Linked DNA regions of Xenopus tropicalis. The protein of the gene in region 1 purifies or fractionates together with the protein of each later gene. This does not show direct contact. Links are inferred from orthologs where the notes say so. Each region holds a gene or a part of one and is shown on either strand. Other genes may lie near its edges. The genes, in order: nfkbia, vcp and arrb1.

The links.
Region 2: the proteins of nfkbia (region 1) and vcp purify together in Homo sapiens (affinity purification with western blotting; 7 studies listed by BioGRID and IntAct, with this or other methods). This does not show direct contact. The link is inferred for Xenopus tropicalis from reciprocal best matches to the Homo sapiens genes NFKBIA and VCP.
Region 3: the proteins of nfkbia (region 1) and arrb1 purify together in Homo sapiens (affinity purification with western blotting; 3 studies listed by BioGRID and IntAct, with this or other methods). This does not show direct contact. The link is inferred for Xenopus tropicalis from reciprocal best matches to the Homo sapiens genes NFKBIA and ARRB1.

The regions. Positions count from the first base shown.
Region 1 is NC_030684.2:109,508,353-109,518,747, reverse strand, and holds nfkbia (NF-kappa-B inhibitor alpha), read left to right. Parts: upstream 1-4,053; 5' UTR 4,054-4,173; coding exon 4,174-4,409; intron 4,410-5,579; coding exon 5,580-5,688; intron 5,689-6,040; coding exon 6,041-6,248; intron 6,249-6,351; coding exon 6,352-6,440; intron 6,441-6,553; coding exon 6,554-6,814; intron 6,815-7,224; coding exon 7,225-7,269; 3' UTR 7,270-7,791; downstream 7,792-10,395. UniProt on the Homo sapiens protein: Inhibits the activity of dimeric NF-kappa-B/REL complexes by trapping REL (RELA/p65 and NFKB1/p50) dimers in the cytoplasm by masking their nuclear localization signals.
Region 2 is NC_030677.2:212,820,508-212,830,902, reverse strand, and holds the start of vcp (transitional endoplasmic reticulum ATPase), read left to right. Parts: upstream 1-2,319; 5' UTR 2,320-2,432; coding exon 2,433-2,449; intron 2,450-7,186; coding exon 7,187-7,298; intron 7,299-7,497; coding exon 7,498-7,670; intron 7,671-8,559; coding exon 8,560-8,702; intron 8,703-9,264; coding exon 9,265-9,395; intron 9,396-9,904; coding exon 9,905-10,036; intron 10,037-10,289; coding exon 10,290-10,392; intron 10,393-10,395. UniProt on the Homo sapiens protein: Necessary for the fragmentation of Golgi stacks during mitosis and for their reassembly after mitosis. Involved in the formation of the transitional endoplasmic reticulum (tER).
Region 3 is NC_030678.2:175,780,772-175,791,166, reverse strand, and holds the start of arrb1 (beta-arrestin-1), read right to left. Parts: upstream 6,991-10,395; 5' UTR 6,647-6,990; coding exon 6,501-6,646; intron 1-6,500. UniProt on the Homo sapiens protein: Functions in regulating agonist-mediated G-protein coupled receptor (GPCR) signaling by mediating both receptor desensitization and resensitization processes.

The DNA.
Region 1 (10,395 bases):
ACGTATGCAATCCCACTGGAGATTTACATTCTCGCCGGTGGGATGGCATTTCGTTTGCCAGAGCCCTAAAACACATATAGGGACAATTCTCAGTAAATGATCAGCATTGTCTAATTTAGTAGCCACGACAAGTAGCTGCTACTAGTAGCTCTGTGTGTTTTCACCCCTAATTTTTCAGTTGGGCCCCTCAAGCAGTCACAGGGTCTTTTATCTCTGAAATTACTTAGCTGTTCTGGTTAGTGTTTTGCTTACAGCAAACATAAAATTACCTATAGGTTACACTTTTTATTTTTTACTGTATTGTGTGTGTTGACACACAGTACAAAAAAGTTGTGCAAATTAATGAAAAAATCAGCGAAAATACGCAAGGTACGAAAACTTAGAAAAAATACATTTTTTTTTGTATTAGGAGCCGATCGTACTTAAATAAAATAGGTCCCTATATTTTAGACGTGCAGACTTTGTCGGTATAAGGGCATCTCTTCAATGTATCAACTGGGAAAGGCTTTTCACAGGGTTGAACAGAAAAGAAAAATGTAATATCTTTAAAATTATGCTTAACAAGTATACAGGTCAGTATATTCCCCTTATAAACAAGGAAAGGAATCACAATGCCAAACCTTTATGGTTGCATAAAAGTGTTAGTGGTGAAGGTTGGTAATAAAAAAACATGCTTTTAAAGCATTCAAATTAGCTGGGACAGCGGAAACTTGCATCAGGTACAAGGAAGCAAATAAAGCATGCAAAAAATCAGGCAAGCTAAAATAGAGATGGAAAGGGATATTGCAGTTGGTATTGCTGTTGGTATATATGGTTTATGTATGTGAGTGTATAGATAGGTCAGTATAGGTAAGTTTGAACTTGGTGGAGAGAGCACAAAAATATGGCACTAAGTGCAAATGAAATGTGACATTCTGACAGCACTGAATGGGTTAAATACAATCCATCCATGACTATCCAACTGCTTGTCAGCGCGCACACAAGGTGTATTTTGGGCAGAAAATCATACTTTCTGTGAATGAAATGTATCCCATATGCCCACTTGCAGGTTGATGCTATTACTGTAACTACTTACTTCCATGGGAAGTATTGGAAAGGATTGACTGTCATGAAGAAGTCCAAATCAGATAAAGATTGAGAACTGTACTGTTTTGATTGGGATAATAGATTGCCAAAGCATCAGTGCAGTAACCCATAGCAACCAATAAGCAGTTAGCTTTCATTAGTGCATCTTGCACTGTTGAAATAATAAAACAAACTGTGTGACTAGTCACCATATTGTGATAGATTTGGAAATCTGCCACTGATCTAATTGAGGTGTAAATAATGTATTCTATTACAAATGAAACCACTAAGACCCTTGAAGGGGGTGGTTTATTATAACTTGTTATTTGGCACTTAAAAAAATCAATACTTATCTATCTGCAATACTGCAATCTATCCTGCAGTTTCAAATGTGCCCAGCAGGGACCTTTGAAGAAGAATTAGATATCAGGGGATCTCCTGTTAAACCCAACGTGTTGCCAAATTACTGCTGGGATTTTTTTAAAGTGGCCAAACTTCAGTAAAATCCCCGTGTCCTATTAACGTGCTGCAATCTGTGAATCACATAATTTCACTTTCCGATGTTATGCCCCATTAAGTACATTTGCTGGAGGAAAGTTAAGTTCTTTAGGGGGAACATCAGAGGTACTTTTACACTGCACAGAGTCATACATGGCATTACCAAAAGCAGCAGAGGAGAACTACAGCTTCTATTAGGCTTTGCCAGCCGTACTGGAACTGGCATGTTTATTAAGATAGAAGGATCTGTCGGTTAGTCCTAGAATCTGTCCTCCACCTGCAAATTCCCTAAGCAGCTTTATCTAAAGTCCCTGATTGAAAGTGAGGTTTAATGAGCTTTAAGGAACGTTATATCTGCATACCAAATCCTAATCATGGGGAAATCCCAGTCACTGGGCAGTAATATAACAAAGACATTCTGTGTTTTGCATAACAAAGGCAAAACAATCCAAGCACCCAAACCCAAAGTCTGATGCCAAATTTCAGTACTGTATAGGGTGCACTAAGCTGTTAATATGTTACTACAGATTTTGTTTACAATATTTTAATATGGACAGATATGTATGACTATAAGTAAGTGGGCACTACAGCAGAATCTATACCACTATATAGCCCAACACCAAAAGCCACCAGAAAGATTATAGGGTTCATCACAGCCCTGGATGCAAGTACAAGAGCAATAAGGGACACAAAACTCCTTCTTGGTCATGGGGTTTGCAGTATTTAGGGGAGTTTTGGCACCAAATGCCGCCCCAATGTGGCCTAAGGGATGCTGCACCTACTCTCTTAAGGGTATATTTATTATACTGTGTAAGCCAACATTCGATATTCGGTGTATGTATAGTGGATCGACGAAGTGACCAATATCACAAAAAACCTTGGATATTGGTCGTCTTGCCAATCGGGCAGGGTAAAATATTTTGATCGGGCACTGTTGAAGCGCCTGAGCATAAGCATACGTTAAGGGCTGAATCGTCAAATAGGGGTAGAATTCTTATTGTTTTTGCCAATGGTCGCAGGAAGGTTGATAACTGTAACGTGTATGGCCACCTTAACTTGTAGGTGACCATTAAAATCTAATTGCTTATTAAATGCTATATGCAACATCACAGCTGATTTTGGCTTACACACTATAATATATATGCCCCTTGTGTCAGGGGGGCACATCCAGCACCGGATTTCTAAATGACGCGCCCCGAGGCCGCCCCCATTTGGCGCCCCCTACCCGCCGTGCGAGCGCGCATGCGCAAACCACCTCCTCCTCCCCTGCCGCCGCGCTAATGCGCATGCGCCAAAGTTAAAACTCCCATACAGAGCAGTGGGGAGAGGTCCCCATTGCTCCGTATGGGAGCAAAATTTTGAAATTTGCGTGCGGCGGGGCAGCATGCCGCCCCTATGTTTATGCCGCCCTAGGCCCGGGCCTGGGCACATCACTAGTGCAGAGCGCACAATAGTATAGTCAAAGTATTCCATGATGTTTTTGGTTTACTACTTTTATTCCCACACAAGAATTACGGACAGATAACCTTCGGCAAATGGCAATTAAGTTATTTCACCTAAGCAAGGTACCTGAAACTATTATCGTTATAAAAATAATAACTATTAAATTCATACAATCTCATTTCATCCCAACAATAATGCACAAAGGGGCTTATGTTTTTTTTAAAGCAAATGCAAACTGCAATTAGGATTGCCACCTGGAGGTTATTATACTGGCCTGACCAGTTAAAATACTGCAATATCCCAATGTTAACTGGGTAGAGAGATGAAAATTTAGGAAGACCTGTATTTCTTTCCAGTGGGAAAGCCTTACTACAATGCACAAAAGAGTGCAAAATTCCATGTTTCACCCACAATGCAACGTTATTCCCCAGAATCCCAGTGTAATCTTGCTGCTTATGACGCAATTTTTGCAGCCTTTTGGGGAACATTGCGCGAAAGTTGCATTGTTTGTAAACCCCTCGTTTCTGGAAGTTGCTGAAATAAAACAAAATGGCATTAGCATCAATCATTAGGTGCAAGTCGGTTGTGTGTGTGGGTTAAGGTGCAAAATGCAAATGGCTCCCCGGACGTTGAGCTCTTATGTATTTAGCATAATATCAATAGTCTGTCAGACGAAGGTATATTTAACGCATATAAATGCCGAGTATGATGTGGGGAACTAATGTGTATTTTTGCCCGAATCCCCCCAGTGTGTCCCAGGAATGGTGAGTGTGCTGAGAGGAATGTACATGGAGTAGCTGCGCACGTCTGAAAAAAGGGAATTTCTGAGCCTTGTACATATTTCTGCGCTCTTCCTTTTATTGTACCACAGAACTGGCTCCGTCAGGTTCATTGTGTTCCTATACTGACTTATTCTTGGAATTTCCCAGAGTACATAATAGTTCACAAGTAGGAAACTGAGCTCGGCTCCACCCAGAAAAAACCCCGGCTGTATATGTAAAAGTAGCCTGCTGGGGGAGGGAGCTGCCAGATCGCTACCAGAAGTCGCTCTGATCGGATGGGATTAGTATAGAGGAGGCTACAGCTACAGAACTTCACTATCGCAACTGGGATTCTACAGTGTCTTCTAAGCTATTTTGCGGGGAAGCTCAACAACCGGCCGCCGCCATGTCTGTGCCTTTTCACGATTACCAAGGGAATATGATGGAGGGAGAAGCTAGGGATCTCCGGAAGGACAAACTGCTGCAGGACGATCGCATTGATAGCGGCCTGGACTCCCTGAAGGAGGAGGAATACACGGCTATCATTACTGACCTCAGCAACATGAGAATGGAGGGCCCGCCGGACACATCGAACTATGAGCCGGAGCCATGGAAGAAAGAGGTCAACGAAGATGGAGACACGTAAGTGATAGAGAATGGGTTCGTTATATGGCTGGGGATTGTGCTCAGTATCTACTGATATTGTATAGGGGCGATGAACCTTAGTATTAGTACATCTAAAACCATTACATCTGCCTTGCACAGTGTATATACTGATAAAGGGATAGTACTCTATAGTGCTGCACTAATATATATATATATATAACAGGGACACCTAGGTTTGGGGCAGTGTTTAGTGTAGGATATGTAGATATTTACTAATGCATGACTTCTTTATGGTGAATGCACAGTTAGGTGCATGGGGCAGGCTACACTGCATAACACTGCAATTTATTGTGCAGCTTTTTCATGCAACCATAAACATGCAGTATTAGTAAGTTGTGCAAATAGTTAAAAACCCTTGTGCTTTTAATGCTTTTTTTATATCATGCATTGGTATTTGCAAGCATGCAGCAACGCCGGGCAGCTGTTAGATGGCTTGGTGCATGTTTGTTCTTGGTAGGGGAATTTTTTTGTTGGTGCAGAAGAGACGCCATATCTGTCTGGGTTTTCCCTTCTTCGTGTGAGCTGGAGGGAGGGGGGGTGGGAGGACACCTTGTTCTCTGACTTGCTGCCTCAGAGGGGTGGGGGCTGGCAGGCACCCAGGGGCAGGACTCTGGCTTTGGAAAGTCCCTGGCCAGTAGCCAGGAACACAACTGCACACACACACACTCTCACACTCACAGCAGAAAGCGGAAAACAACAGACAGATCTAGAGAAGAAAAAATCCCCAGACTTACACAATTGCATAGTTGGCTGGGGGAGGGGGAAGTACACACTTGTGTCACCACTGACTAGTATTGCAGCTCACCGACATGCCGCTATGATGAAATAGGTTCATTATGAATTATTATTTCCTATTGCTTGGCAGTTTCTAAATTTATGAAGTTTTATTCACCTCGATCTTTCCCACACACTGAACCTTAACACCACTTCACTTACTGGTTCCCAAAGGGGAGGGGGGGGTACATTTTCTACTTCTGAATGATGAAATAGTAAATACAGAAATGACATTTTGTAATAAGATGCTAAGATTGGAAAGCTAGTTTGTCATTTCCCATAAACCTGCTAGTTCATCTTTTCTTTTTTTATGGTTAAATGACACAAATTTGCTTCTCTATTTTAACATGTCCTTTTTATGTTCCCTTCTAGGTTTCTCCATTTGGCAATTATCCATGAAGAGAAAACCCTGGTGAAGGAGGCAATCCAACGTTCATACAGGGACCATTTTTACCTGAACAAGCAGAATAATCTGCACCAGGTAATTTACTTTTTATTTTTTTTCTAAACCTTGTAAAAACTTTATTTCTAGATTAGCTTGTCATGTGCCACCATTGTCGGTTAGGGCAGGGCTGTCCAACTGGAGGCCCGTGGGCCGGATGTGGCCCTCCAAAGGAATTTTAACATATAAAGTATAATAGAGGGCCAGTTTGTGGAATAATTGACCTATGACATGTAAGTTGGCCAGCACTTAAAATATTAATAGTCAGTGCACTCATAGCATGTTCATGAGGGATAGAATATAGTACAAGCTTATTCTGCAAGTTCAATTTTGTGTTTAATGAGAATGAATTTACTGATTTTTCTTTTTTTTTTTAATGTCTTTTCTGCAGACAGCACTACATCTGGCAGTAATCACCGAACAACAAGACATCAGCCAGTCACTTCTCCAGGCTGGTTGTGATCCAGAAATCCAAGACTTCTGTGGCAACACCGCCTTGCACATTGCCTGCAAGCAGGGCTCGCTTCGGGGAGTTGGGGTCATTTTCCAGTATTGTGAGAAACAACTGCCAGCACTTCTGCAATCTGTGAACTATGATGGTATGTATCAAACTTAATCTATAAACCTTTAGACGTGTGTTGTTGTGCTACTTGGCAAATTAGAATTAGAACTGCCTTGCTAATATCTTTCTTTCCGATGCAGGTCACACGTGCCTCCACCTGGCATCGATCCATGGCTATCTTGCAATTGTGGAAAATCTCATTAATAAGGGGGCTGATATAAATGCCCAGGTCAGTATTCCCCCTACTTCACTTGGCTACATACTGATGTTTCTTCCTGCCATGTCTATTGGATTCAATTTTGCCTCTAGATCTAAGAGAAATTTCTGTTTCCCTCACCACAGGAGCCTTGCAATGGTCGCACTGTGCTGCATATGGCCGTGGACCTGCAGAACTACGACCTGATGAAACTGCTGCTTAAGCACGGAGCAGATGTAAACAGAGTCACGTACCAAGGCTACTCTCCGTGCCAGCTCACATGGGGCAGAAATAACATGCTGATTCAACAACAGCTGGTTGAAGTGACACACAAGAATTTGCAGTACCTTCCAGAGAGTGAAGAGGAAGACAGTTCTGACTCCGAATATGAATATAATGATGATGAGGTGAGACCTAGAGACGAGTTCATCATAGTAATGGCATGGGAATGAATGGCAGTTAAACCAGTTTCAAGCACATGTAATAATTAGCCTAATGTTAAAGAATTTTTAATAATCTGTTGGGTTGTGCAGGCCCTAGCAGTTTGGGCAGCTAAAATAAAATAAAGCATTTAGGGTGAGGCAGGGATGAGATTTGGCAGGGGCTACGGAGACTGATAAAACCATAAACCCATCCATTTTTAGATTAGTGATCATCTTCTTCCTTTTAAGTTAGAAAAAAGTGGGTTCAGTAGCAACCCCTGAGTTATGTTTTGGTCCAACATGTAACTCTCTTGCAATAAAGTTGTCGCTTAATAAGGTTTATGTATAACAATTTTTGGCTCTAAATAGTTTTCTTTCTCTCTTTTGTCTAACAGCTTATGTATGACGACTGCATCATAGGGGGGAGGCCGCTGCATTAGACTGCTGTGTGTGAACTAAAAAAAAGAAACTATAAGGACAGACTCTCATTACTAGAGGACAGCACTGGAGCCAGTGACTTCGGGGTAGAAAAGGATCCTCTGAAAGTTGAGGCGTGGAGGTGCTTGTGCTGTTCCATGGTGACCGATGTTCTACACGAGAAGCTTCCTGTGTTACATATCCTGCCGCATCAAGACCACAGCTATGAATTAAAGAGCTTATTCCTTGAGCAGATAAAGAGAGGATGCTGCAGAAGGAACTCTAATCTGTCATTAACATCATTGTGAGGCAGGGCGACCAATACCATGATACTGACAATGCCCTTCAATGCCAACATGAAATAAATGGCTCATAAATACACTGTGTTGAGGACCTGACTAATTATAGCCAGAGAGCAGATTGTTAAAATAAACTACACACTGTATATAGTGTAAATAAAGTACAGAGATTATTTTTATATGCAAAGTTTATATTTTATATAAAAAAAAGAAAAGAAAAAAAATAAATAAATAATTGTTTCCAAATCTACTCTGCAGATTATTTTTTTTTCCTGCTCCCATCCAAGACTCAAAGAACAGAAAACTTGATATCTTTACTAGGATAATAGGCTCAAAGTAAAATCTTGTGGAATAAAAATAAGATCTACTGAGCAAGGCCCACTTTACCTCTTATAAATGTGCAACCTCCTGCCTGTAGGAGTTGCAGTACTTTCTAGGCCTTTTTTAAGATGTAGCACCCCACCCCCACCCTTTGGAGGTCTTTGCATTGGTCAGGGCTGCCTTAGCTACTTCCAAGGTTAAAGCTATTGAAAAACACTGGTATTTTTAATTCATTGTTCCAAAAATATCAAGCACATAAGATCTAAAAACTCTCTCCTAATCTCAACCAACTTGACCTTTAACCTTTCAGGTGTATCTAAGAATCAAATAGGCATTCCCCCAATTATACCTGGCCTTACCCTACCGCTGCTTCAAGCCCACTTAAGGGTGCCAGCCCCAAGTTTGGGAATCACTATTCTATATGATATTTGGAAGGGAATCTCTTTTAGCGTAGAAAGAGTTGTCTCACCTTAATGTTGCTGGATAAACTTCAGTATAATCCTGGATAATCCTATATATTATCAAGGCCAAAAGCATTTGGAGACAGTATTCCAGAAACATAAGTCTTGAATGCTCTGTGTGGGTCTTAATGGCACTCCTCTGTGTATCCTGTGTTATTCAAAAAACATAAGGGATGGAACCTCAAGCAATACTATCTGGTAACAGGTTCCTAAAGTCTACAGGGCCAGTGGTTCTTGGGATGACATCTCAATATCTTTAAATAGCCTTTGGCAATGGTTCCCAAATTGTAGGGCTGGCTTCTATAGGCTGACCCAATCCTTGGCTGCAGGGAACCCAGCCTAAAGGCCAATTAGGGTAAGACTTGGATAGCTATTGATCTTCTACACACACCCTAAAAGACCAGATTGAAGGTCACTTGAGAGATTTAGGTGAACGTTTATTTGCTGCCTTAGATGTTATTGAAACTGAATGAAGTAATGTTTTCCAATACCTGTCACTTTATTATGTGCCATGATCCATTGCTGGATTTCAAATGGGGACTAGAACCAGAAAATTCTGAAACCACTACAAAAATGCAGTGAAAGTGTTTTGGAGTGAACACATCTAGGGTTATATTTATTAACACAGAAGACAAACATAACTGCTGATGTTGCCCAAGGCAACCAATCAGCACTTAGATTTGAACAGTCACATACAAGTTAGAAAACAAAAACAAAGATCTGATTGGTTGCTATTACCACCTATGATGTTTTTTTCCCAATAAATACAACATCTAATGTGCTTGATATTCTTGGAACTATGGAACAATGACTGAAATTCCAATGTTTTTCAAGATCTTTAACCTTAGTATGAGCTAAAGCAGTCCTGACTATTGCATAATTCTCCAAGGGGCTGAGAATCCTCCCTTCTAATGTTCAATTGCTGATTAATATTGGCAAGGAAAAGTTCCATGGATCTCTTCCATAATTGGTAACAGCAAGCAGTGTCGGACTGAGATGCCAGGGGCCCACCAGAAAACCTTGGACCATAGGCCCACTCTCTAATCCCTCAACCTCTTTATTATCCAAGTCTCTTTTCTCTATCCTTCCATTTATTTTTCCCATACATAAATAGGGAATGACCATGCAATTGGCCAAATAGATAGAAGCAAGAGGGCCCACTGACACCTGGGCCCACCGGGAGTTTTCCTGGTATCCTAGTGGGCCAGTCTGACACTGATAGGAAGATGAATAATGTAGCACCAGTAGGTAGGATTCTCACAGAAGAACTGTATCTGTAATTAAATTTAGAACTCGGGGGTGTAAATGCTAGTAAGGGGAGTGTTTAACCCTACCGTACCCATGTATAACATGAACCTGGATTGATCAGCAGAGTGCATACTTTTTTTTCTGAAGGCTACATAGAAGAAGAGGACAAGACAGGGACCAATGTCGCACAGGGAGCTTTTCAGCTGGCAGATTTTAGATTACCTCCAACGGCTCCCATGGGTACCACAAAGGAAAAACTGCAGAGGCCAAAACACCTTTCCTCAAATGTAGTTACATTCTATGTATCTGTCTTTAGTAGTTATTGCACAACTGCAGTATCCGCCATAGGCATCATGTTTTCTGTTCAAATGAATCTAGAGAAGCTGTCAGCAGGCAGGGACATTGTGCCTCACCTGGTACAAGAAGGCAAAATGTTATAGGCCTTACAGTCTAAAGTCATTCATGGACTTAGTTCACTCTGAGCTCACTAGGGTTGCCACCAGTATTCTACTGGCATAGCCATTAAACATGGCGTTCAAGCTGATGTTATTAAAGGGAAGAAAGATTTTAGATAGATAAATGATTGATATAGATGATAGATTTCTCCATTGGAATACCATTTTCCTTCAGGAATCTGAACATTGTGTATGATGTATATGCCCCATCCAAAATAGATCACACCTTTTCTCTCAGTCTTAAAATGATTCTCAGTGATACTGGCTGTAAAATATTTCCTGCCATGTTTCATAGCTGACCTGCTCCACCACATTCCTCAGAGAGTGTTCAGCTTCCCGACTCCCTGCCTGTAGTCTTCTACTTC
Region 2 (10,395 bases), on another chromosome or scaffold:
AGTGGGAAGGGCTAAATGAATTCTTCTCTTCTTGATACAGAGAGTTTCCTTCAGCTCATTAAATCACAGAGATATATATATAAATATATAGAAAGCTTCAGTCAGAATTTCAATGATATTCTTTTCTGATCTGTAACATGGCAGTGGTCACGTAGGGGTTAAATCCTGCACCACATAAGGGCTAGAAGTAGTCATTTTTATGAAATTCTGACTGGTCTCTCTATTTGATGGAGAAAACTCAACCAGTGTGCAGCTAAGATAATCTTCCTTCTGCCTGTGGCTCTTGCTTATTGTTAGGGTTCTACGGAGGGAACCTGCTCATCTGCAGTTGGATTGGGTGCAAATCCTTTGCCCGGTATCTGTTGTCTCACAATCAATTCCTGTCACAAGAGAAGCAGTTGCTTTAGGCAGAAAGTTCTCTAACTTGGGTCCAAACAACAACTGATGTCCATAAGGAGGGTTGCACAAAGGATGTTTTGATCTTCTGGTAACAGCCCCCCAATGCCATGGCCTTTGCTGCCCATTTAATAGTATCGGAGGAAGCCTTGGCAATATAACTGCACCCAGTTGGATTATGTCTATATCCTTGACATTCTGCTTAAATTTCACCTTTAAAAAGAAAATATGCCACTTTTCAACTTGCCCTTTTTATGTAAGACTAAGATACCTTGAGTATGTGTGCTTGCTATGGCCAGTTCCCCACCCCTCTTAGGCTCACAGTGTCCTGCAGCCCCTCCCTCATCCTGTTCCAGGGTGAAGTGACTCTGGGATTTGAAGCCCCTCTGCTCTCCAGAGAATCCATGCACCGCCTACTAAGCAGGGGAACTACATGTCCCAGAGTCCATCACTTCACTCTGGAATGAGGCGAGGGAGGAGTTGCAGGACACTGCAATGGGCAATGCCTAGAGGTGGCCATATATACGGGCCGATTCTAGCTGCCGATATGGGTCCCTTAGACCGATTCAGCAGCTAATCAGCCCGTGTATGGGCACTACCGACGGGTCTGCCTGACTGATATCTGGCCTGAAATTCTAAGATTAGCAGACAATGGAAAGGAATAACGACTCTGCTGACTTTGTGAAAATCTGTTTTGTTTTTTTACCTGTTTATTAGAATATAAAAACCAAGAAAAGATTTCAGCGGCCAAACGCAAGGTGGAAACTGGAGGTTCCGAGAGGCCCTAGGGCCAAACGATTGAATTAACCCGATATTGGGCACCTTAGATGGGAATATCAGGAGAAGAGCCACTTGTTTGGGGAGGTGTATGGCCACCCTTTAGGTATATCTGTTTAAAAACAAACAAACATATATTCCTATGTTTATGTACCTTGTTCCATGTGTAAAGAATGGGGACATATTTCCCCTTTAATGGCTTTAAGGATTGGAAGGAATGTTTATATGAATAGAAACAATTCCCACCAGGTAACTTACTGCCAGTTAGTCCAGCAAAACACCATCAGTTCCCCACAATAAACTGAACCATTAACCCCCTGTGTGCCAGCTTCTCTCCCAGTGCCAGGCCTGCCCAATGTGTGATATTATGGCACTTTGTGGGTCAATGTTACCTCAGCTCTGGGCAGGTAGGGGAAATTACCCACAATGCATTGCCTTACAGACAGGGCAGATAATGAGCGATCACTGCCATGTGAGGGGCAATAGATTGAGAGCTTGTAGCCCAGGAACTGCAGGGGGAGGGGCTAACATGTAGTACAGTTGGGGCACATGTATTACTCCTTATGGGTGAAGCTACTAGTGGGTGCATGGCTACAGGCCCAGGGGCCATATCACATTACAATGGCCAAACTTCATTTATTGTATGTGGCTGGGCGCCATATTCCATCTGTTGTGAGTAAATTGCCCTGTCACGCCGCTCAGCGAGTTGACTGACAGTCGGCCAACCTCAGAATTTGTTTCTCTTTTGTGCGGCTTCTTCCTGGTGACACGCCCCCTTTTCCGTTTTTTGACCAATCCCAGTCGGCCAGACGCGCAGTTGCTAGGAGTTAGTAGGACAGACGCGGTAGGCTCCTTCATTGCAGTGCGCCTTCATCTTTACGGACCAATCAGAAGCGGCGGCCGGGTAGGACGCTAGAGGCGTGGCCTATATCCCATCATTCCTTGCTCATCACCCGTCAGTTCTGGGCCCCGCTGATTGGTTGCAGTATTAAGACGCAAGCGCAGACGGCGGACAGTGATGCTGCACTTTACCCTCCTGTGTGTGTAAGCCCCGCCCAGCCGCCGGCGCTCCTCCTCCTTTCCCTCGGTCAGTCACACAGTGAAAGCGAGAGAACGGACAGCGGGGCAGCGAGCGGAGCAGCGAGAGGGAACAGCGGGACTCACAGGCGGGACGGGACCGAAACACCTGATAAGCGGCAGGAACCGAGCGCTCAGTTTCTCCTTACCGGCAGCGGAGCGGCACAGGCCGGACACCGAGCATGGCTTCCGGATCCGAGTGAGTTACCGGGGAGCGGGCTGAGGGGGGTCTGTGGGTGCCGGTGGGACGCCGCCGCCGGGAGCTCCGCCCATTGGCTGGCACAGCGGGACCCGGGGTGTGCGGCCTACTGCGGCCTCCTCATCCTGCTGTGTCATGCACCCCTCACAGCGGCACCTACCGGCAGGACTACAACTCCCAGCATTCCCTGCCAACAGCCGGCCCCAGTGTTATCTGCTGGGAATGGTACCCTGCCTGCCGGGACTGACCTACAGGAAACCTGCCGGGAGAGCCTTGTCTTTTCCAGTGGGTCACCTCTGGCTGCCTTGGGGGATGCTGGGAGTTGTAGTCCAACATCAGGATTAGGGTGCCCTGCCTCTAATATCATCATGTCTGGGGCCCTAGCTGCCCTGGGGGATGCTGGGAATTGTAGGCCACTAGCAGCATGGGTTTATACTGTATGACATTAGTGGGGTACAGGGAGTCTGCAGTAGTACCAGGCCTTGTACAGTGGCTGATCTCCAGCTGCTGTGGGGGATGCTGGGAATTGTAGTCCAACATCAGGATTAGGGTGCCCTGCCTCTAATATCATCATGTCTGGGGCCCTAGCTGCCTTGGGGGATGCTGGGAGTTGTAGTCCAACATCTGGATTAGGATCCCCTGCCTCTAATATCATGTCTGGGGCCCTAGCTGCCTTGGGGGATGCTGGGAATTGTAGTCCAACATCAGGATTAGGGTGCCCTGCCTCTAATATCATCATGACTGGGGCCCTAGCTGCCTTGGGGGATGCTGGGAGTTGTAGTCCAACATCAGGATTAGGGTGCCCTGCCTCTAATATCATGCTTGGGGCCCTAGCCGCCTTGGGGGATGCTGGGAGTTGTAGTCCAACATCAGGATTAGGGTGCCCTGCCTCTAATATCATGCTTGGGGCCCTAGCCGCCTTGGGGGATGCTGGGAGTTGTAGTCCAACATCAGGATTAGGGTGCCCTGCCTCTAATATCATGCTTGGGGCCCTAGCCGCCTTGGGGGATGCTGGGAATTGTAGTCCAACATCAGGATTAGGGTGCCCTGCCTCTAATATCATGTCTGGGGCCCTAGCTGCCTTGGGGGATGCTGGGAATTGTAGTCCAACATCAGGATTAGGGTGCCCTGCCTCTAATATCATCATGACTGGGGCCCTAGCTGCCTTGGGGGATGCTGGGAGTTGTAGTCCAACATCAGGATTAGGGTGCCCTGCCTCTAATATCATGCTTGGGGCCCTAGCCGCCTTGGGGGATGCTGGGAGTTGTAGTCCAACATCAGGATTAGGGTGCCCTGCCTCTAATATCATGCTTGGGGCCCTAGCTGCCTTGGGGGATGCTGGGAGTTGTAGTCCAACATCAGGATTAGGGTGCCCTGCCTCTAATATCATGTCTGGGGGCACTAGCCGCCTTGGGGGATGCTGGGAGTTGTAGGCCACTAGCAGCATGGGTTTATACTGTATGACATTAGTGGGGTACAGGGAGCCTGTAGTAGTACCAGGCCTTGTACAGTGGCTGATCTCCAGCTGCTGTGGGGGATGCTGGGAGTTGTAGTCCAGTCACCGTATCTAGTTGAACGCTGGTTGCTATAGAGAACCTGACATTGGCAACACAGGGTACCCTTTGGGTATAATAGGAGCCATAGCTGGGCATGAGGGTGGGTATCCATGGAAACCTGCCAGAAATGAGGCAACTTGCCGGGAACTCTTATTGGCCCTTTGTCTGCATCCCAATCTGAGCTATGGCTGATGTACCCTATCAAATATGTATAACCCTGCCCATTTGGGCCGCTGGCACACTGCCTGGGTGTGAGTATGTGCCTGTGGCCCAGTGCCAAGGTGCCAGTGGAACTGCTTTATGATGCTGGCACCGGTGCCCACAGCTGCTGGCACTCACAGCATAGAGAGGGGCCGTGCCACCTCATCCTAATCACTGGCCAGTTAGTGGGGTTTGGGCAGGACCTACCCCTGCCATTACAATGGTACGTTCCAGAACAGGCAGTGCAGAGAGATACACCAGGGTTATACCAACTGCAGCTGGGGGGGTTATATCTGTGTGCCCATGCCTATTGGCTGACCCTCGGGCCCCCATGTGCTCTGGGCCTGCTCCCTGCTGGGTCCCTGCGCTTTGCCCAATGAATGGTTCTCCCCTGTCAGCACAAATGCCCCTGCCCCCAGAGGGAACGGCCATGCTAAGCTTTCCTGCCCCTCGTGAGAGAAGCCCCCCCCCCGCACTACAGTCTGACCTTCTGGATCCCCAGCGCCCACCTACCTACCTGCCCCTGGGCTCTTGGGGTGCTCTCCTCCCCTTCTGCTCCACATTTATATAAATCTCTATACATTTGCCCAAACCTGCCCAATATTATATGGAGTAGCCCCCCCATCCCCCCTCCTTGTCCCAACTCTCTTTATAACCGGTGCCAAGCGATACCCTTAGCAACCTGGGTGTTATTATCCCCCCCCCTGAGGTGAGAAGTGGAACTGCAGGAGACTGGAGGAGCCCCACACACACTTGGCTGATAGTGATACCCCATTGGGAGATGCTGATGTATCCAGGATCCCGTACCCTGTGGGTAAATGGCATCTGTGCCCGCTAATTGGCAGGAAATAGGGCTGTACTTCTGGTTCTGACTCTTCAAACAATGTAGCCCTTCCCCAGTTCTGCAGCTGGATTCTGCTACATAGTTTCAGGAGTCGGAACCAGCAGTGCAGAGAATATAAACAGAGGCTGCCGTCTGTAGCAACTCAATTTAAAACCATTTGATATGGAAAATGAATAAATATCAAGAGTTTGTGTTTTTATTGTCAAAAGGTTTTTAGTTGGAAATCCCCTAAATTCCCTCACAGTCACCTCCTGGGCTGGGCCCTGCCTGTCACTCATTCCCAGTCTCCTTGGTTACATGTAAATATACCTGGGTGGGGGCAGTACCGGTACTGGTATCAGTTCTGGCCCCACTGGGTATCTGTATGGGGCCAGGTATTGTGTCTGTCTGTCCCTTTCCCTTCCCTGCACTGCTGGTTCTGACTCCTGATACAACTCCCCAATATCCATTCATCCCTCATTCTCACTGGGTTTATAGTTATGTGTAACTGTCACTGTCCCTTTCCCTTCCCTGCACTGCTGGTTCTGACTCCTGATACAACTCCCCAATATCCATTCATTCCTCATTCTCACTGGGTTTATAGTTATGTGTAACTGTCACTGTGTCTGTCCCTTTCCCTTCCCTGCACTGCTGGTTCTGACTCCTGATACAACTCCCCAATACCCATTCATTCCTCATTCTCACTGGGTTTATAGTTATGTGTAACTGTCACTGTGTCTGTCCCTTTCCCTTCCCTGCACTGCTGGTTCTGACTCCTGATACAACTCCCCAATATCCATTCATCCCTCATTCTCACTGGGTTTATAGTTATGTGTAACTGTCACTGTCCCTTTCCCTTCCCTGCACTGCTGGTTCTGACTCCTGATACAACTCCCCAATACCCATTCATTCCTCATTCTCACTGGGTTTATAGTTATGTGTAACTGTCACTGTGTCTGTCCCTTTCCCTTCCCTGCACTGCTGGTTCTGACTCCTGATACAACTCCCCAATATCCATTTATTCCTCATTCTCACTGGGTTTATAGTTATGTGTAACTGTCACTGTGTCTGTCCCTTTCCCTTCTCTGCACTGCTGGTTCTGACTCCTGATACAACTCCCCAATATCCATTATGTTATGTGTAACTGTCACTGTGTCTGTCCCTTTCCCTTCCCTGCACTGCTGGTTCTGACTCCTGATACAACTCCCCAATATCCATTCATCCCTCATTCTCACTGGGTTTATAGTTATGTGTAACTGTCACTGTGTCTGTCCCTTTCCCTTCCCTGCACTGCTGGTTCTGACTCCTGATACAACTCCCCAATACCCATTCATCCCTCATTCTCACTGGGTTTATAGTTATGTGTAACTGTCACTGTGTCTGTCCCTTTCCCTTCCCTGCACTGCTGGTTCTGACTCCTGATACAACTCCCCAATACCCATTCATTCCTCATTCTCACTGGGTTTATAGTTATGTATCTGTCACTGTGTCTGTCTGTCCCTTTCCCTTCTCTAGTTCTGACTCTAGAAACAATGTAGCTGAAATCTGCTTACATCCGTACACCTTTTTACAGCAGTTCGTACTTGCTTTATGGCAGCAGTTCTGGATAGGAGCTGGGTATCAGAGAGGTACAGATACCATAGGAGTTGGGGCAGTTGCCGCTGGGCGGGAGGGGGAGTTGGGGCAGTTGCCGCTGGGCGGGAGGGGGAGTTGGGGCAGTTGCCGCTGGGCGGGAGGGGGAGTTGGGGCAGTTGCTCAGCAGTCTGTGCTGTTAGTAAATAGGGAAGGAGCCAGCCAGAAACGAAACCAAAAGCTGCGCTCCCTGCGTCACCGCTTGCACCCCTGGCACTGACTGTACATTCCTAAGGCTTTAACCCTTGCTTATCTCTGTTCATCTTCATACAATAAACAATCCTTTAGATTGTAAGCTCTTGAGCAGGGCCCACTAATCTTATTTTTTACTCTGTTACCCTTGTTTGTTAAGTTATTGTAAGACCATAAATAATAACTATATATATTATAGTAAATGCTAAATAATAAATACAGTGCCAGACTCAGTGGCTGGGGGGTGCGGGCCCATAAGTACTGGCAGGCTCACACTCCATTAAGATGAATGAATAATTTAGCTAATTAACCCCCCCCCCCCTCTCTATTCAGTTCCAAATCAGACGACCTGTCTACAGCAATCCTGAAGCAGAAGAGCCGGCCCAATCGGCTGATTGTGGATGAATCCATCAATGAGGACAACAGTGTGGTGTCTCTGTCCCAGGTACGGCCAGTGCCAGTAGCACAAGCGCCTTGTTCCCGGGGTCTGTGTGGGACGGGGGGGTGGGGGGCCAGGGTTTAATGGCACCGGGGGGGGGGGGGGGGGCGCTGGGGTTTAATGGCACCGGGGGGGGGGGGTTGCTGGGGTTTAATGGCACCATTGGTGGACGCCGGGGTTTAATGGCACCGGGCTCTTGTTTCAGGCCAAGATGGATGAGCTGCAGCTCTTTAGGGGGGACACCGTGCTGCTGAAAGGGAAGAAGAGGAGGGAAGCCGTTTGCATCGTTCTCTCAGATGACACCTGTTCCGATGAAAAGATCCGAATGAACAGAGTCGTCCGGAACAACCTGAGGGTGCGGCTTGGAGATGTTATCAGGTATCACTGGGGATTGGGTTTGTTACTCGTGGCTCAGCTATTGGGCAGCATGGGGTATTGGGCCTGGTACTGTGGCTCAGCTATTGGGTATCATTGGGTCTGGTAATCATGGCTCAGCTATTGGGCAGCATGGGGTATTGGGCCTGGTACTGTGGCTCAGCTATTGGGTATCATTGGGTTTGTTACTCATGGCTCAGCTATTGGGTATCATTGGGTTTGTTACTCATGGCTCAGCTATTGGGTATCATGGGGTATTGGGCCTGGTACTCATGGCTCAGCTATTGGGTATCATGGGGTATTGGGCCTGGTACTCATGGCTCAGCTATTGGGTATCATTGGGTTTGTTACTCATGGCTCAGCTATTGGGCAGCATGGGGTATTGGGCCTGGTACTCATGGCTCAGCTATTGGGCAGCGTGGGGTATTGGGCCTGGTACTGTGGCCCAGCTATTGGGCACCATGGGGTAGGGTCTGGTACTGGGGCCCAGCTATTGGGCACCATGGGGTATTGGGTCTGGTACTGTGGCCCAGCTATTGGGCACCATGGGGTAGGGTCTGGTACTGGGGCCCAGCTATTGGACACCATGGGGTATTGGGTCTGGTACTGTGGCCCAGCTATTGGGCAGCATGGGGTAGGGTCTGGTACTGTGGCCCAGCTATTGGGCAGCATGGGGTAGGGTCTGGTACTGTGGCCCAGCTATTGGGCAGCATGGGGTAGGGTCTGGTACTGTGGCCCAGCTATTGGGCAGCATGGGGTAGGGTCTGGTACTGTGGCCCAGCTATTGGGCACCATGGGGTAGGTTCTGGTACTGTGGCCAGTGGTTGCTCTGCCATTGGCCACTCTGAGTTCTGTTACAGTTCCGCTACTCACTGCTCCTGTTTCTGCGCAGCATTCAGCCGTGCCCGGATGTGAAGTACGGCAAGCGGATCCATGTCCTGCCCATAGACGACACAGTGGAGGGCATCACTGGGAACCTGTTTGAGGTGTATCTCAAGCCTTACTTCTTGGAAGCCTACCGGCCAATCAGGAAAGGTACAGACTGCGCATCCCGGTGCTTTACCCTCAGTGCTACTTGGAAAGGCCCAGTTCTCTGGGCTCCGGTACCACCTAAAACATTTAAAGCGATAGTGACACATTCTGATTCTAACAGGGCCGTGTCACCATGTCCCTGGTTGGGAGAGCAGCAGGCCGGGCTTTGATAAGCTGGGCCAGTGTTCATAGTTGTCCTCCAGCCTATCAGGACATTACGTCCCCCTCCCCCCTGCCAAACTCTCAAGGAACCATGGTATGGGAGAGCCGGACAATTTTGGGGGATGTGGTTGCTGCAGTTTCCGAAGGGGCTCAGTGTTGGCTAAATGGGATTAGTTTCCCTTTAATACTTGTGTATTTGCACTGCCATTGTGTGAATTGTGCTCCACTGTAGGCACTTGTCATTGAGACTCATTGATAAGGATGTGTTTTACTGTTGGACTGATCCAGCCCATATCTGATGGGAGGGGTCAGGCTCAGAGAGAAACTGGACCCGGATCAGTATCTTTGCCCCAAATGTACATGCTATGTCCGACTGATTTTAATGGCACTTTCCTGCCTCTAGGTGACATTTTCCTGGTGCGCGGAGGGATGCGAGCAGTGGAGTTCAAAGTGGTGGAGACTGATCCCTCCCCGTACTGCATTGTGGCCCCCGATACTGTAATCCATTGTGAAGGGGAGCCCATTAAACGTGAAGTAAGTGCACTGTAAAGGCTATGGGGGGAGAGAAATGGGGGGGGGGGGAGCATGGGAAGTTCATACTGGTGCTGCAAGGCTAATAATTATATGGATGTAGCACTCATGGTGGGAGGGGGGCACTGTGCCAGGGGTATGGAGCTGGGCAGGGTACCTAGGCATGTAACTATTCTGCCTGACTTTACTGCCACCTACTGTTAGAATCTACTCCCTACAGTCCCATAGTGATTAGAGTATTTCATGATTATTACACAAACCCCCGTGATTCTGCTGGTCACATGATCGAGGGGTATGGGGTGGGCAAGCCAACCGTCCTGCGTGATAACGAGAGACTGAAATGTTGGCGTTTCTTTTTTTTAAAAATTGTTTTTATTGAGTTTTATTTAACATAAAGAAAGAAAAGGAAGAAGAGAGAGGAGATAGGAAAGAATGGAAATAAATAAAATGGCATGATACGGTTCTTGGTGAAATGTTGGCGTTTCTTAACCCGGCCGCACTTTCTCTTGCAGGATGAGGAGGAGTCCTTGAATGAAGTGGGCTATGATGACATCGGCGGCTGCAGGAAACAGCTGGCCCAGATCAAAGAGATGGTGGAACTGCCTCTCAGGCACCCGGCCCTCTTTAAGGCTATTGGGGTGAAGGTAAGACAATGGCAGTGAAGGGTGGGGGGCTGCTCTCTGTAGCTGTGAATGGAGGGGGGCAGAGATGTAACTGCTGCGTTTCCCTATTACCTATATACAGAGATCATAGGCTCTTGTTCCCCATTGGATGTAGTTTGTCCTTTTATCTTAAGGGAATATTAGGGGGATGTGGGGGCTTATAGGGGAAGAGCCAATGTGCCCCAGTTACTGCCTGTGCGCTTTGTGTACTGATACCTTTTGTTCTGCCTCTCAGCCTCCCAGGGGCATTCTGCTGTACGGACCCCCAGGCACTGGAAAAACCCTCATTGCTAGAGCTGTGGCCAATGAAACCGGAGCTTTCTTCTTCCTGATCAATGGTG
Region 3 (10,395 bases), on another chromosome or scaffold:
TGTATAATACCCCAGAACACACAGCAGATAAATACAGTGCCAATTCCATGTATAATACCCCAGAACCCACAGCAGGATAAATACAGTGCAGACTTCATACCTCTACCCAGTTTGCTGTAGGAAATTTATTGATTTTGGGGGAGGGATTAGCCTCACAAAACCTACATTATACTCCGTCCACATCAGTGGCCCGGTAATCAGATGCATTTGCCGATATTATAACCTAAGCCCAAACCCTACAGGAACAAATTCACTCGTTTATCAGAACCTTTAGCAGTTCTAGCACGGTTCTAACCTTGGGTGACAAGCACGGAATCGAAAACATCAAGGATAAAGGATTTATTTCTGTTAATAAGGGAGCTAAACGAGTATCTCGTTGCTAAAGAGAACTAATTGATTTCATGCTCAATATGGAATTGGTCTCAGCGATAGGTGGGGGGAACGTCATCTACTCCCTAGTGTAAATATACAATATATATATAGCTTAGGCATCCTGCTTGTCTAATATACAGTTCTGCCTACATCTGGGCTAAATGGTAGGCCCTGCCAGTGATTAAACTGTGGCCCTGTTATACTGGGAGAGATACCATAAAACTATGGCACATAGGGATTCCCCTGTACTAAGCACAATTCAGCAGGAACAGCCCCATAAGTTTGCTCATAGCCTGTACAGAGAGATACCATAAAACTATGGCACATAGGGATTCCCCTGTACTAAGCACAATTCAGCAGGAACAGCCCCCTAAGTTTGCTCATAGCCTGTACAGAGAGATACCATAAAACTATGGCACATAGGGATTCCCCTGTACTAAGCACAATTCAGCAGGAACAGCCCCCTAAGTTTGCTCATAGCCTGTACAGAGAGATACCATAAAACTATGGCACATAGGGATTCCCCTGTACTAAGCACAATTCAGCAGGAACAGCCCCCTAAGTTTGCTCATAGCCTGTACAGAGAGATACCATAAATCTATGGCACATCGGGATTCCCCTGTACTAAGCACAATTCAGCAGGAACAGCCCCCTAAGTTTGCCCATAGCCTGTACAGAGAGATACCATAAAACTATGGCACATAGGGATTCCCCTGTACTAAGCACAATTCAGCAGGAACAGCCCCCTAAGTTTGCTCATAGCCTGTACAGAGAGATACCATAAAACTATGGCACATAGGGATTCCCCTGTACTAAGCACAATTCAGCAGGAACAGCCCCCTAAGTTTGCTCATAGCCTGTACAGAGATGTAAGTCACTCTTTAGTTGATCTTCCCCTTTAATAGCACTATATGACTATATAATTAAAGGGAAGGGTGCGGCGACACTAAGATGGATCAGACAGGGCCACAGACAGGGTCACTCCGCATGATCGCAGGCAGATGCAATCAGGCAGCACAATGACTCTGTTACTAATATAATATTCTATTTCTAATCCCTCGGCTCCAAAGTAAACTGCCCGCTCCCCTCTGGCAGCGCCCGGGCGTGACATTGCTAAGCCTGGCACACAGGCTGGCACCCAGCCGCTCATCTTTCCGTCGCTGGATAAGGGCCCGACAGGGGACCCTTTGATGTGAATAACAGAGAGAAGGATTAAGTCACACGTGATTGGTCGAAAGATCTCGCACTTGCCCCCCATAGTGTGAGTTACAGAGCACTTGTGCCCGACAGGCACTGTATTTAATGCCTGCCATAGCCAAGCGGTAATTATAGGTTCCCGTTGCTTCTTTTGCCCATGTTTATTGCAGTTTGCACCCTGCCCCACATCCTTGTGTCTGACCTGCACCTATGGGTGCTAAGTGCCCACAACATGGAGCTGTGCCCTTTGCACCCTGGTTGGCACTTTTGGCAGCAACTGTCACAGTTACAACTACAGTCGCTCATTTCTTTGTGGCCCTTAACAATTACATAGGCGATTCCATGAAACTGGGTCAGTTTATTGCCCCCCCCCCCGGTGCTGTAATTGTGCCCCCCCCCCCCCCGGCAATAGGAATCCTCTCCCTAATCCGCTTTGCCTTGTGGGTATTTTGCACTCTCATTAATGAGCCGCCCTTTCACACTCTCATTTACTTTCCTCTTTGATTATCTTTATCCCAGCGGATCATTAGCCGACGGAACGGATAGTTCTAATTGGATCGCATTAGCAAGTGAGGAAGGTGTCCGGCAGCTCATCCGACTTGAGCAGTCGTTATGGCAACAGCGGGAGGACACCCAACTAATTCCCATGCCCTGGAGTAGGACTGGGCATTATACTTGGCATCTATCAGTGTGTGCCACGGGGAATCCCTGGGCCCCATACTACAGGTATAGGACCTATTATCCAGAATGGGGTTTTCCGGATAAGGGATCTTTCCGTAATTTGGATCTTCATAACTTGAAGTCTGCTAAAAATCCTGTAATTATATCTTAGTTGGGATCAAGTACAGGTACTGTTTTATTATTACAGAGAAAAGGGAATCATTTAACCATTAAATAAACCCAATAGGGCTGTTCTGCCCCAATAAGGGGTAATTATATCTTAGTTGGGATCAAGTACAGATACTGTTTTATTATTACAGAGAAAAGGGAATCATTTAACCATTAAATAAACCCAATAGGGCTGTTCTGCCCCCAATAAGGGGTAATTATATCTTAGTTGGGATCAAGTACAGGTACTGTTTTATTATTACAGAGAAAAGGGAATCATTTAACCATTAAATAAACCCAATAGGGCTGTTCTGCCCCAATAAGGGGTAATTATATCTTAGTTGGGATCAAGTACAGATACTGTTTTATTATTACAGAGTAAAAGGGAATCATTTAACCATTAAATAAACCCAATAGGGCTGTTCTGCCCCAATAAGGGGTAATTATATCTTAGTTGGGATCAAGTACAGGTACTGTTTTATTATTACAGAGAAAAGGGAATCATTTAACCATTAAATAAACCCAATAGGGCTGTTCTGCCCCAATAAGGGGTAATTATATCTTAGTTGGGATCAAGTACAGGTACTGTTTTATTATTACAGAGAAAAGGGAATCATTTAACCATTAAATAAACCCAATAGGGCTGTTCTGCCCCAATAAGGGGTAATTATATCTTAGTTGGGATCAAGTACAGGTACTGTTTTATTATTACAGAGAAAAAGGAAATAATTTTTAAAAATTAGAATGATTTGCTTATAATGGAGTCTATGGGAGATGGCTTTTCCGTAATTCAGAACTTTCTGGATAAGGGGTTTCCGGATAAGGGATCCCATACCTGTACTAAGTTAGCAGGGCCCTCCACCCTAGGGAGCCCCAATTATTTACCCACTGGGTAGAAGCATATCTACCCGGGGGGGGGCAGAACCCCTAGGCTCAGCCCCCCATGGTATGTGCATGGTAAGTTTCAGTGTGGAAATCTTGCCCACTATAGTTACCCCACTACCATTGGTCACCTAGACCCCCAGGGGGAGGATCCTGCCAACATGCGAAATGGGACCCCAATGAGAACACACACAGACACACCCCATATCCCAGTCCCGACCCATAAAGCTAAAACTGTGCCAACATTGCACCCAAATTTCACCCACTCCAAATAACCAATAACAATTTTATTTCTCTTGGGCCCCCCTGTGCCTCTTGATGGTACAAATATTGGGGGGCCCGGGGATTATGCCCTCACTTCCCTATGATGAAACCCTATGTGTCATGTTTAGCGCTGGGGGGTTTGGGCTTCAGGGACTGAGCCCCACACTGGGATAAAGGGAACACACCCGGGGCCCCTCCGGTATAACGAGGGTTAATGCGCCACGCCTACCGCCGTGAATTTGCTTCCAAACGCTAACAATGAGCAATTAAACTCCTCTTAATCCTCAAATATTTTGCCAGGGTGATAAGGAATCCTGCCAGCAATCCAACACCCGATGCCAGCTCTGTGCCCACATACAGTGCCAAGGTGCCGCCATGGTAACCTAATAAATGCACTCATATGACTGGCGGGGGGGCAAAGGCTCACCTGGGGGGGCAGTTATATAACAACTGGTTGGACTCCCCCTGTGCCCCCCTAATGGCCATGTCCCAGCCACTCCTGATTATTCCCTGACCATGTACTCTCATTGGCTCACCCAAGGTTAAAGGGGATACAAACCCTGCTGCCCAGCGCGGCTCAACCCAACGTTACTCAGTTGTTACTGGGCTACAAATCCCACAATAATGTAACATATAATGAAGCTTGGGGCATGCTGGGAGCTGTAGTCCAGCAACATCAGGGCTGTATTCTTAAAGCAATATTGCACAATAAAACTTTCCCCCAAATCCCCACAGCCAGCGACTGCTTTAACATGCGAAAAATCCTCCAATGAGAATCCCAGCTGATGTGAGTAAATCCGGCTCCCTGTTCTCTGTTCCTGCAATTGGAGTTGGGAGCAATAAGCACAGTTTCCCAGCACTGAACAAGTCTGTCCCTTTATCCCCATGTCTGATTCCTGTGCCATATAATGAGGGGAGAAAATGCCATCATTATCTCTATATGTAAGGTACCAGCAAGGGGCCTGACACAGTGCTGGGAATCAGCATTCTCACTGGGCAGTTCTTTTGCATTTATAATCAACTTATTTATCAGTACAATTCTCATTGGGGAATTTCCTTGCATCTGTAATGATGGTTTTTGGCAGCTTCTATAGCAAAACTAGGGGGCGCCGTGGGGCAGCATCATGGCTGGGTTTATATCACCATTAAATATACGGGGGGCAAAAATGCAGGATATTTGGCAGGTCCGACAGATGACTGGGCCACATGCTATCAGCAGGGCTTTCCCCACAATGGAGCCTGGGTTATTAGCCCCCCCGCCCACACACAGGCCCTGAGCCCTAGAATCCATGTAACCAAGGCTAGGTACATACATAGCAAAACCCCCAGTCTGCCCTGTTACCCTCTTACCTGCCCAGACCCCTGCCCATCTCACCAGCAAACCCTGTACCTTTTGCAGTCCTATGACAATGGCTATGGCCCCGTCCCTGCACTGTGATTGGGCCCCAGACCAGTCACCCCCCTCCCCTGCTGCTGAGTCCTTAATTGCACCCAGAAAGATACAAGTCACAGGGCCAATGGGCTCCCAGACTTCGAATAGAGGTTTTGGGAGCCCAATTATAGCACCCATGGGTGCCTGGTTATACAACTACAGCCTTGGATGGTATTAGAGCACCTAAATATCCAGGTCACTTCCAGTTGCCCCGGATTGGGCCAGCGGATAAGGAAGGTAATTACCCCAAAGGCTTCATTGCTCAGCCAAAGCGCCTTATATATTTATCCCACTCTCCCTAACGCTAATCCTCTTATCAGCCCTAATCTAATTATATGACCCCCACCCCCCCCCCGCCAGATTGCACATCCCACTGTCACTCAGCCAATGAATTGCCTCCATTGTGCTCTTGGGAACCAATGACCCATTGCTCTGTGCGGCCACAGTTTTATTGTTACAGCTCTGTAACTTTTCTTTCTATTCAGTCCCACTTCTATTCGTATCCCAGTCTCTCATTCCAACCACTGCCTGGTTGCTAAGATAATTTGGACCCTATCGACCATATAGCTGCTAAAATGCCAAGAGCCCCATTAAATGACATTATTGGCCGCACTATTGTGACGTCATTTCTGTATTCCAAGAGCTTCCCAGTGACACAAGTCCTTTAGGGGTTACGTGCCCAATGGGTTCCACTGGGAATGAGGTGCCAGTGCACAAAGGGTGCAAACTCTATACCAGAACAGGGCAGGGTTGTGCCAAGTTACGGGGCCCCCCTGCAGCCTATTACATATTTCTACATTTCATAGCATCCCCCCCCAGTTACAGCCTGTACACCTACCATCATCTTGCCTTACTATACACATTATGCCATAGTTAGAGCCCCTTCTCCTGGCACTGTAGCCCCTATGCCGAGTGCCATCTTGCCTACTATACACATTATGCCATAGTTAGAGCCCCTTCTCCTGGCACTGTAGCCCCTATGCCGAGTGCCATCTTGCCTTACTATACACATTATGCCATAGTTAGAGCCCCTTCTCCTGGCACTGTAGCCCCTATGCCGAGTGCCATCTTGCCTACTATACACATTATGCCATAGTTAGAGCCCCTTCTCCTGGCACTGTAGCCCCTATGCCGAGTGCCATCTTGCCTTACTATACACATTATGCCATAGTTAGAGCCCCTTCTCCTGGCACCACCTTACCTTATTCTGCACACTGTCCAGCACTGTAGCCCCTATGCCGAGCCCCATCTTGCCTTACTATACACACTATACTACAGTTACAGCCAATCCCTGAGGGTCCCTTTGCATACAGCTTGGGGGCCACACAAACTGCAGGGCACTAAAGGCAGCCCGGCCACAGAAAGAGGGGGCACTGCAAGCACCGGGCATTAAGGGGAATAACAGTGGGATTTGCTCATTAGAGGTAACACCCCGGGGGTCATGTTGGCACGAGGGGGCATCGCTGTGGGTGATTCCTTGTGCCCAGTCCGACACACATTGTGCCACAGACCTGTCCTTACTCACAGAAATACGTTCTCCATTGGCGCGGCCTTGTGGGCTTCCAGCTCCCCACAGCGGATTCCCAGCGGTGCCACCACGCAAGCAGGAACCGACTCCTCCAATACGGTTCTGATCCTTAGGTACGGGCTGTCAATCCACATGTAATCCATCTAGGCACCGGCATCACTGCAGCCCTGCCAGCCAGCGAGGTGTGCGACGGTCCCTTCCCTCTCAGCTCTCTCCCCCCCACTGATTCCTTTATTCTCTCCAATGGCAGCGACTACCCACGGGCTGGAATCTCAGCCGCTCTCTCGCTCTCTCGCTCTCTCTCAATCCAAGCAGCTGCATCAAAATTCTCCCATTTACTGTGTTATGCCCTGCGTGCAAGTCTGATTGGCTCGTGTCGTCATCGGCAGTACAGCGTGCCGCGGGCACAACACCAGCATATCAAATCTCTGCAGCCTCCCGCGGGTATGGGTGAGACCCTCCCCAGCCAGCGGGAATGCAGAGACAGAGATAGGGGGCCCAAATATTCCCCCCAGCAAAATGGCAACAGCAAGATACAATGGGGATTGTAAGATATGATGGAGACAGTGGGATAGGAAGAATGGTAAGATAGGGCAATGGTCAATAGGGCAAGAGGGCGACAGTAGGTCATGATGGAGACAGTAGGGCAAGATGGGGACAGTAGGACAAGATGGAGGCAGTAGGGCAAGATGGAGACAGTAGGGCAAGATGGAGACAGTAGGGCAAGATGGAGACAGTAGGGCAAGATGGAGACAGTAGGGCAAAATGAAGACAGTAGGGCAAGATGGGAGACAGTAGGGCAAGATGGAGACAGTAGGGCAAGATGGAGACAGTAGGGCAAGATGGAGACAGTAGGTCAGGATAGAAGCAGTGGGAAATGATGGAAACAGGACCAAAATAAAGAAAGTATGGCAAGATGCTTTAAAGGTGAATTAGCTTTGCTTGTACAACATATTTCCCAGGGCAGCCCAGTAAGCAGGGTTCCTATCTCTGCTGTTGGAATTAGAGTGTAGGCCTGGGGGAGAGGTGCATGTAGTCAGGACCAGAAACAGGCAAAATAAACAAAACAAAACACAATTCAAATAATAGAATACTTTGCCTTTAAATCATACAAATACAAAAACACATACAAGAGTATTATAAAAACAAAACCCCAAGTCTGGATGTGGGCCAAAAGCATCAATCTCTGGAGAAAATAGAGAAATAAATTCCGTTGAGGGGTTTGGGAATAGTCAGGGCGAGTGAACGTAAGGTCACAATCCATGGAGATGAATGTCTGGTTTATATTTTGGGAATAAAATCAAAGCCGCTAAATGTCATCCAAACGGGGAAACTATGGAGAGATATGCTGAAGTAAATTCAGCAAAAGAGCTCAGTGCCAGGCAGTGACTGCAAAAGCCAACAACAACTTCTGTTCCACATGCCATGGAGTTTTGCCCATAAATGCCATGTTGTGAGGCCTGGTCTAGTACACGGAAGGTATAAGCACCTTTGGGTGTCACCCCAGAAGGACCACCCAAAGGGAAACTATGGAGAGATATGAAAATAACACAGAAAAATACTCAGCAGAAGAGCTCAGTGCCAGGCAGTGGCTGCAAAAGCCAACAACAACTTCCGTTCCATATGCCATGGAGTTGTGCCCATAAATGCCATGTTGTGAGGCCTGGTCTAGTACGTGGTATAAACACCTTTGGGTGTCACCCCGCAAGGACCACCCAAAGGGAAACTATGGGGAGATATGAAAATAACTCAGAAGTAAACTAAGCAGAGGAGCTCAGTGCCAGGCAGTGGCTGCAAAAGCCAACAACAACTTCCGTTCCATATGCCATGGAGTTGTGCCCATAAATGCCATGTTGTGAGGCCTGGTCTAGTACGAGGAATAAACACCTTTGGGTGTCACCCCGGAAGGACCACCCAAAGGGAAACTATGGAGAGATATGAAAATAACTCAGAAGTAAACTCAGGAGAGGAGCTCAGTGCCAGGCAGTGGCTGCAAAAGCCAACAACAACTTCCGTTCCATATGCCATGGAGTTGTGCCCATAAATGCCATGTTGTGAGGCCTGGTCTAGTACGAGGTATAAACACCTTTGGGTGTCACCCCGCAAGGACCACCCAAAGGGAAACTATGGAAGGACCAACAGAAGTGGGTGTATTAATGCCCCTACCATATCAGAGAGTTCATTGGGTGCCAGCCTAGTGCATTGACCCAACCTGATGCGGGAACCCAAGGTCCAGGGTGGCAGTAGCTCCAGGGTTCCCCAGTGTGAATGGGCGCAATGGGGGCAAGAGGGATGTCTCGGAAAGCATGGGCAAGTGCAGGAACATGTTCATGCCTCCATGTATTGTCTCATTTCCCCTCTCCTGCCAACAAACACCAGTGGGGTTTAAAAACTGGGGGATAAATATTTGAGTGTTTCCATCGGCCTTACAATGACAAACATGTCTGAGGTCACAAAACAAATGCGGAAAGATTAACACCGCCGTCCAAAAAGGAATAGACTTGACTAAAGGCCACTGCGGAAGAACAACATGCAGGTTCTACAGGCTACTGCCTAGAGATCTATTGCCCCCAGTCGGGGCTGTTGGTTGCTAGGAACAAGTTTAGGGGTCCAGGGACTTGTCTTGTTGCTGAACAAACACCAAGCGGCGAGAGGGGGGCGCCGACGCTCAGCAGAGCCCGGATCGTTCTGATGTATGAGGCTCATTTCTCGTTGGTTTGAATTTCTAATTAAAAGTAAATCAAATCAGTGGGAACAAACAGGCAGCGAGGTCAGGCCAAGATTGGAGTAAGACTCGTCATAAATAGGATTGGGTGGGACACTCTATTGATTCATACAAAAACAGCATAGTAATACATTAAGCTGTGCAGAAGTAGGGAGTAATTAGCGAGTGTGCAGTAGGAGTAGGTACAAACAGCAGGACCAGCATGGAGTAGGGCAATAGCGTATGGGTTGAGGAGAGCACAGAGAATTCTGCATGAGTGTGGATTATAAGTAGTCATGCATAGGATGGGGTAATTAGTATGGAGTTAGAGTAATAATGCACTGCATGGGGTTGGATAGAGTTAGTAGTATGCATACTCCTGTGTAGGGAAGAGTAGAGGGTATCCCGCATAAGATGGGGTTTGATAAGAGTATTAGTGACTCTGCATATGATGGAGTTACACAGAGCTGGGGAAAGAGTAATCCTTATAGGACAGGGTGGAGTAGGGAATGGAGCATGCATGGAGTTGCACAGAATATGGAGTAGGAGTAATTGCACATAGGATGGGGTTGGATAAGACTATGGGGCTGAGTAGAGAATAGAGTAAGAGTAGTTATACACAAGGTGGGGTTGTGCAGACTATGAAGTAAGAGTAATCCTAATGAGTATGGGGCTGAGGAGAGAATGGAGTAAGAGTTATAGTTATGCATTTGATGGGATTGTATAGAATACGGAGTAGGAGTAATTGCACATAGGATGGGGTTGGACAGACTTTGGAGTAGGAATAATGGTACTTTTGCTCGTACCCCAGTGCCTTACTACAAGCCAATAGGCCGTACTCCTATGTTTATTTGCTACTCAAACGCTACTCGAGTCAGTTTGTGCCACACGTTAAAGGACTCACTTCCCAAACAGCTCACAAAGTCCTTCCTCCATGGAGTCCCGGCACCCCGGCCAAGAAACGTAGCCTGTACCTACTGACAGTAAGCCCCGCCCCCCAAGGGACATTTCCATAATACACCAAGATGGCTGCCCTACACCCAGCCCATCATAAACCTTTATTCCATCCCAAAAGTGCTTTGTGTTTGAGCCGAGAGTGCAGCCGAGAGTGCAGCCGAGAGTGCAGCCGAGAGTGCTGAGAGCCGTTGCCCCTTTCTTGCAGCTTCGAAACCTAAATGGATTTGTGAT